2 linked regions of the Neurospora crassa OR74A genome follow. The protein of the gene in region 1 interacts with the protein of each later gene in a pairwise test. Links are inferred from orthologs where the notes say so. Each region holds a gene or a part of one and is shown in the gene's direction. Other genes may lie near its edges.

Region 1 (3,684 bases):
CCCTTTTTTCGTCGAGTGTGATGGTGTAGTGCCGGCCATGTGGTGTCTGGTGAAATGAGGAGAAAGAGTGCGCCAGCGCCAGGCTGCGAGGTGTCGCAAGCTGGGGGGTGAATCCGTCCGCTTGTGTAATAGGTAAGACGGACTGTTCTCTGTTTCTATTTGCAAGGTCAGTAGCAGTCTAAGCGACTCGGAGTCGACTTTTTAAAAGCAGGTCCGCATCTGCTATGTATCATGATCCATTGGGATCTGTTGTTGATAAATAAGCAATCGGGCAGCCATCCGGGGCTTGAGTGAAACAATGGTGAGTAACAAATTGCTGTCGAGTCGTCGGAAGCATGAGGTAGTGTAGCCATGCAATGATTCATCCTGTTGGTTGACGTTGCTTTCTTGTTGAAGAAGAGAGATAAATAGATAAATAGAAGATGATGGGATGGGCGAGATACCGACTGAATCTGAGAGATGGGATGCGGGATGGATGGATTGATGCCCTGCGGCTTCGATTGTGCCAACCCAGCCAGCCAGCCAGCCATGCCGACCGACCGACCGATATGCGACATGCCATGCCACCTCACACACACAGGCACACTGATAACCTGCGAGTCGACGAGGAGAGGTGACGGGCGGCAGAACATGCTTCTTTTGGGGCCAGTGAATGATGCCGTGTCCCACCTTGGATCATCCAATCTGTCCGGACCAGACTCCATCTGGAATGGACATCCATCGGCATCCGCACTCCCCTGGACCCCAATCGGTTTCTAAAAAGAGGAGAAACGGAAGAGGAAAAGGGAAAGGGAAAAAAAAAAAGAAGAACAAGTGGGATCGATGGGACATGGGACAGCACCACTGCATCTCCAGCCGAGTCCATGGAAACGGGAAGACAAGGGGAGGGGGGGGGAGAGGGAGAGGGAGGAGGGGGAAGGGGAAGGAGAAGGGGATGGGGATGGCGACCGAGAGGATAGGTACCTACTGTAGGGACGGGAAATCTCATCGACAACCACACAACGAAGCATCGATGCTCTCGAGGTCTCTTCCCCTTCCTTCATGAGACAAGCGAAAAGGAAAAGGTCCGGAGCCCCAGCTTCCACATCGTGTTGACATGGAACGAGGGAACAGGAATCGGGGCCACTGGCCGGCTTCTTTCGTTCTTTCAGCGTGTGTTAGTGGGGTGCACGGGCCACATATCCCCGGGAAATGGGCTGGGGGTAGCGGCTTCCAGGAGGTCACAGAGGCCCCCCCCCCCAGGTCGCAGGGGGAGACGGGAGGTCCGTCGGGGCAGGGGCAGGGAAGAATCAGCGAAATCACTCGGTCGCGCCAGGAGACCCCGCCTCCGTATATAAACACCCAATCTTCCCCCCTCGAGCGCGACTGAGCCCACCCATCCTCCTCTCGTCCTTTGTTTCCCAGTCCACGATCCAACCTCAACTGAACCTTTTGCACGCCCCTTTCATCCAGTTGTATCTTCAGCAAGATATCCTCAGCCTCCAGCCCTAAAACCACAACCACATCCATCACCATGCCTCCCAAGAAGACCGAGACCAAGGCCGCCGATGCCTCTGCCGCCGCCGCTCCTGCTCCCGCCGCTGCTCCCACCTCTGCTCCCAAGACCAAGAGCCCCAGCACCCATGCCTCTTACCTTGTAAGCTTTACTTAATCCCCAAGAGAAACGCATCTTTTGCTAACATTCAAACAGGACATGATCACGGACGCTATTGTTGCGGTATTTAAACCCCCTCATTATCTTTGTTGTGGCGTGTTTTGGTTGTGGGCGCTTCTCTGGTCGGTGAGCAAAATGAGACAATTGCTCTCATGATGCACGCAACCAAGAGTCACCCACACCACTCACCACCCTTTTACTGTCCCTCAGTCGTGCTGATTCCTTCTTTTTGTCATGCTACAGCTCAAGGACCGCGCTGGATCTAGGTATGTGCCATTTTTCTGCTTACTTTTCTCATTTTTTCACCAGGGCTTTGCCAAGCCACACCGCAAACCTTGCGGGCCCTTCCTACGGTCGCACCGATGACCACTTTCATTCTTATTTCCATGACGCGATGAAGGATCACAACATGTTGCTAACGCACACCACAGCCGTCAAGCTCTCAAGAAGTATGTCCGTGCCAACAACACGCTCGGCAACGTCACCGACAACATGTTCGACTCGCTCTTCAACAAGGCCTTGAAGAACGGTGTCGACAAGGGTGTCTTTGAGCAGCCCAAGGGTATGTCACCACCCACATGACGCATCATCTCCTTGTATTACTCTTTGCATGCTCACACACGATATAGGTCCTTCCGGTGGCACCAAGCTTGCCAAGAAGGTCGCTAAGCCTGCTCCCAAGAAGGCTGCTCCCAAGAAGGAGACCAAGGAGAAGAAGCCCGCTGCCGCTAAGAAGGAGGGTGCCGCCAAGAAGGAGACCAAGGAGAAGAAGGCTCCTGCTGCCAAGAAGGCGGCTGCCCCCAAGAAGGCTGCTGCTCCCAAGAAGGAGGTCAAGGAGAAGAAGGCGGCTGCCCCCAAGAAGAAGGCCGCTGCTCCTGCCGTTGCCGACAAGGAGACCGTCCTCACCAAGACCAAGTCTGGCCGTGTCGCCAAGAGCACCGCTAAGCCTGCTGCCGCCAAGAAGGCCGCTGCTCCCAAGAAGGCTGCCGCCAGCAAGAAGGCCGAGAAGGCCGAGCCCGCTGCCGAGAAGGCATAAACTCGTTCCTTTGGGATGATGTTTTTGTCTCTTTTTTTGCGCCTCGGTCTCTTCTCATGATGTCTTTAGTCATTTTTTCACCACCACTTGCGATGTGACGGGCTTACTCGAAAGGCGTTTGGGGAATCATATTGCTTGGGAACACTTATCAACATAAGGGGGGGTTTTCATTGGTCTACAAGTCAACGCGTTTTGCTCTTTTTCACAACATCGCCACAGCGCGCGCGGGGGGTAGCTTCTTGTTTCTGGCTTTCATGTATCTTGGATTCACACATCACTCATGGGGATTGAGGAGGTTTGGATCGTTTGTGCTGAAACGCAACGGAGGGTAGGTTTGGGCTACAACCTATGGATGATTGGGAAATGGGAAACGGGCGACCGGCGGCTTCGAGGGTGTCTCAAGAAGCGAAGGACATACACCAAAAAGCCTTATCTTGGATACTGCATTGCATATATAATCCGTCTTGGAACGATACCACTTTTTCTTCTTCAAATACCCTGAGCAAGCGCTTTGCCCTTTTAGTTTGACATGGCTACCTGACGATTTCGCAGTGTAGTTCTGAAAAAGCCGAGAATTTGGTTTGATGAATACGAAGTTTGGAGCGAAGGACCTTGAAGCGATGATCTGGCGGTCTGGTAGTGATGCTGAGTCCAGAGGCGAGAAGGCGGCTTCAATCGCTTCATTGTATCTGAAATATATCACGAGGGATACCCTATTGCTACGACGAACGAAATTCGCAAACACTTTTTTTTTTTTTTGATCATATTGCAACAAATTATCTAAGTTTTGTGGGGTGCGGTGAAAAAGGATTGAAAAGCAAGAAGCGAACTAAGAGTTGGCTGGGACGAGCACAACAACGGGGATCCGGCCGGTGGGCGGGAACGCGACTATGGTTAGGTTGTGGGCGGCTCGCTCCTCGCTCGCTCCCCTGTTCCAGGTTTGTTTACAAATTTGATGCCCCGACTTTTTTTTTGCCGGCAAAACACCCAAAAC
Region 2 (4,212 bases), on another chromosome or scaffold:
TCACTTCGCTCTGAGCAGGGGTGACACCCACCAGTCCTCGATTCCACTGCGCATTTTCTCTTCTATCCTATCTATTATGTCACATGCTTCACTCCACCCGCAGCGGTTTTTCGGTTACAGGGGTGGAATGGAGCCTAGGGCTGTCTGCTAGGCATCGCGCGGAAGCTTCACCCTTCACGCCTATTATACCACGGTATACCACGGAGTCCCGAGTGCCGATGGCTTCCATATGACTATCTGACGAATCAGTTCTATTCAGTTCACTCACTTTGTCTTGAATCGTCATCGCCTCAATCCCTTCGGTTTTTTCTTATTCTGTTGGGTTGTTGCTGCTTTCAACCCGCCCAGCGCGGGCATTAACATGGGCTCACAGCCAGATCGAGGCGAGTGTTCTGCCTCATGACAAGCAACGGTCACAGAGGTTGGTGAGAGCAGGCACGTTGCCATAAGTTCCAGGGATTACGAGTACGATTTGATGATCATCTTGGAGGATGAACACCTACATGTAAGAAGATATAAAGTGCTCTTCCTCGCTGCCTGAGAACAAAGTCTTTTTTTCTTTCCTCGAAGTAGACCTATGCACACCACCTTACTTACCATGCTACCTCTATCCATCATCTTTACCTACTGAGTTTCCCGCTGGAGTAGCGTACACTATATACGACAGTCGGATAGTACATTTCATCATGAGCACATATTACAGCGGCGGTGCTGGCAACACCGGTAGCGGCAATGGCTCAAATGGCGCGGCGGTCGGCCCCACATCGGGAGCCGGGGATCTACCCGCACCGGCCCAAGCTCCGAAGTGGGTCTTGCCATGGTTTCTTTTTATCTTTTTCCCAATCCTAGAATCCCGTCGTACGTCGGCATCCCTTTGGTAGTTGGCTGTTGAGCTACAAACATAATCCAAAGGCTTCCATATTACAGGCGGAATGGCAAAAGTAGTTATCTAATGCATCTTGTGTCACCAGAAGAAGAGAGTACGGCTCCATGATGAACAGATACATCCACGACACTACCACCCAAGTATCGGATCGGGTTTCGGGGCATCAGGACCCGATCAGCAACGACCGTCATAGGCTGGAGGTATTGCAGAGAGTGGAAAGACGGAGATGTGAGGCTGAGAGGTTGGCGAGGATTGCGAGAGGGAATTGAAGAGTGGTGAAGAAGGCACACAATTACTGTGTGCATCTTTGCACGATTTACGTTGTTTGAAGCGTTCATGTTGGGAGCTTACATAGTTCGTTGTGAATTGAACCTCAGTCACCACTGAAAACAGACAGCTCGGTCTGCTCAAGCGCAGACAGCTGGCAGACACTGCGCCAGTTGAAATGTCGTAACGTGAAAGCTTGGCACGGCTGCGACGAGTTTTTGGAGTAAGGTCACGGACCACAACAACCAGCGGCAGATTGGCAAAGGCTCACCCAAGGCTCCGAATCACACTATCTGAGCAACATTTCAAGACACTCTGCAACACCACGCCAGCCTCGGAAAAGCGTGCAAATCTGCTGTGAAGATGCTCAGGCCTTCATTGCCAAAGACTCTGACGGCTTTTGGCCCGCCTTAACCAGCTGGGTGGCCGGCCCGGACAGTGCCCGTCGCGGATCTCTGCATGGCTTCAAACCAGAAAGGTGCTCTCAACGTCGGGCAACAGTGAGGTATGCGACTCCCCTTGCATCACATGGACTTGTCCTGGGAGGCCTTTTCTTGGGCCGTTCATTGCGGAGATGTCGGCAAGGTTCTCTGCAAGACCGTGTCAGCCACGGCCCTTGCGAGGCTGAGTTGAGGTCTGGCTATCTGTCTCGAGATGGACCTCACTGGGTCGTCATGGCTGGCTCGAGGCCTTGCTGGCTGGGCCTTTGCCTGGAGCTTCATGATATTGCCAAGCCTCGGAGCTCCCTTCGAATTGGTCAAGTGGTCTGCTTGGCTCGCCGTACCCAAGGTTACCCCAAGGTACCTACCTACCTACCTACACTAACCTACCTACCCTCCCTCTGCGGAGGAGGAAAAAAAAAAAAAAAAAAAAAAAAAAAAAAAATCAGCAACAGCGACAAATCAGCACACACGGCAAGCAAAGCACCCACGGGAGCTGGCTGTTAGCTGACTGAGCTCGAGCTTCCATCCCTTCGCTTAGCTTGGACGTCGGCACCTTCCCTCCTGTACGGACGCATGTCTCAGGCGCGGTTGCGCTCAAACACGGCGGGCAATCACCTGGAAGGACACAACATCAAAGGGCCCATCAGTGGCATGCATCTTCGGCCCTTCTGAATTTTCGAGCGTCTCCTGGCGCCAACTTCAACACCAAACCTCGTCGCGATCATCCTTCCGGCCAAAACACCACTTTTCCATCCGCCAACCCCGCTTCATCCACTTCCACCAGTTCCACGCAAATCCCGCGCCGTTGCCCCGTCAATATCAACATCCAGCATCGTCACGACCACCGGTTTTATTCTCGACACTACGTCCATCCGCCCATCCCGCGCACAACCATCCCACCCCGTTCAATCCCTTCAAACAAACAAACAAACACAATGGCTGGCGGAAAGGGCAAGTCGTCTGGCGGCAAGAGCTCGGGTGGAAAGACCTCGGGCGTCGAAGGTCCCAAGAAGCAGCAGAGCCATTCTGCTCGCGCTGGTCTTCAGGTACGTTTTTATAGTTGACGAGCTTCATGGCTCTGTCCGCTTTCAATTCCTGCTCCGATCTGCACCATCGACGTCGTCTCATCAACCAACTTTTTTTTTGCTCGCATCCGCCATCCCTGTCGTCAGATGTCGATGGAATCACGCCGATACACCACAACGCGTCCACCGAGCCCCCTACATTTCCGGACAACCCCATAGTGCCAACCTACGAAGAACGCGAACTCGCTGCCTCACACGTCGGTCGCACACAACCCCGCCGCTGGGTAAAAGAAAAAAACCCCCATTGCGCCCCGTACGCGATACTATTTCGGCTTCATATGGACGCGTTGTTCTGTGCATCCTTCTCTCGCCCTGGCCCCGCACCCGGACCTTGTTCCGGTCCCTAACTTTGGATTTCTCGCTCTGACAACGAGGCGGAGCTGCGGCGTGCATTTCCGTCCTCTGGAGTTTGCCGTGTGTCTGATGCGCCATGCTGACTTGAATCTAATTAGTTCCCTTGCGGTCGTGTCAAGCGTTTCCTGAAGCAGAACACCCAAAACAAGATGCGCGTTGGCGCCAAGGCTGCCGTCTATGTTACTGCCGTGCTGGAATATTTGACTGCTGAAGTCCTCGAACTTGCGGGTGTAAGTCATTCATACCCCATCCGCTCGGCCATATTGCTTGGCGACGAGGAGGCTCCCATTTCCAAGTTTTACCTGCTTTATGGCTAACTCAATGATTTCCGTTGTATAGAACGCTGCCAAGGACCTGAAGGTCAAGCGTATTACTCCCCGCCATCTTCAGCTTGCCATCCGTGGAGATGAGGAGCTTGATACCCTCATCCGCGCCACTATCGCCTTCGGTGGTGTCCTCCCCCACATTAACCGCGCCCTTCTGCTCAAGGTAGAGCAGAAGAAGAAGGCCAAGGCTCAGGAGGCTTAAGTCCACAACTGCACCGAAAAACTCGACGTCGCACACGTTTCGCACACTGTCTTGCATCTCTCTAGCCCCGCTCCGGGCTGACGGGCAGGACAGCAATCGGCTTGTTCAAGGGATGTCACGGGGTGATGCCGGGGGGGTTGGGGATTGTCTTCGCTAATCCAACACTAACGCCGCTGTATTGTTGGGTATTTTCTTCCTATTATTTGTTGTTGGGATACGCACACGGGCTTGGGGCCCACCGAACCATGGCTTGAAAAAGCCGAGCACTCCCGGTGTCTGCGACGGCAACAAGCGCAGCGCATAGACGACGGCGAACTTCCCTTGCGACACTTCCAGCAGAGTGGTGCGTTCGGAACACACACGAAAAGCGAAGCGTTCTGTATCATCCAGACGTGGAAGCCGCTTGGGTGGCGATGAGCAGGGAGACCATTCACTGTATAATGTCATCTTGGAGTGCACCACACACTGGGAACGGCGAGCAATCTCCCCTCGTCACGGCGCGGCGTGCGACAGCAGCTCTTTTACGATATCTGTAACAACATGAATCTTCTTTATCGTTTTTTTTATAGTACGACTCGGCCATGAGGGCTTAGCGAGGAAAACATCAGGACACGTTAAATGAACGTGTCGGTTGGTACTGGTTGCAGGT

The links. The genes of interacting proteins can lie anywhere in the genome.
Region 2: the proteins of hH1 (region 1) and hH2Az interact in binary tests that used the Saccharomyces cerevisiae proteins (3 or more experiments, as listed by UniProt). The link is inferred for Neurospora crassa OR74A from reciprocal best matches to the Saccharomyces cerevisiae genes HHO1 and HTZ1.

What each region holds. Positions count from the first base shown.
Region 1 is NC_026507.1:545,801-549,484, reverse strand, and holds hH1 (histone H1), read left to right. Parts: upstream 1-1,318; 5' UTR 1,319-1,513; coding exon 1,514-1,636; intron 1,637-1,690; coding exon 1,691-1,717; exon of another isoform or gene 1,718-1,888; coding exon of another isoform or gene 1,889-1,897; coding exon 1,898-1,920; intron 1,921-2,085; coding exon 2,086-2,216; intron 2,217-2,283; coding exon 2,284-2,690; 3' UTR 2,691-3,184; downstream 3,185-3,684.
Region 2 is NC_026502.1:1,390,024-1,394,235, reverse strand, and holds the start of hH2Az (histone H2A.Z), read left to right. Parts: upstream 1-1,412; 5' UTR 1,413-2,531; coding exon 2,532-2,642; intron 2,643-3,133; coding exon 3,134-3,265; intron 3,266-3,374; coding exon 3,375-3,563; 3' UTR 3,564-4,212. UniProt on the Saccharomyces cerevisiae protein: Variant histone H2A which can replace H2A in some nucleosomes. Nucleosomes wrap and compact DNA into chromatin, limiting DNA accessibility to the cellular machineries which require DNA as a template.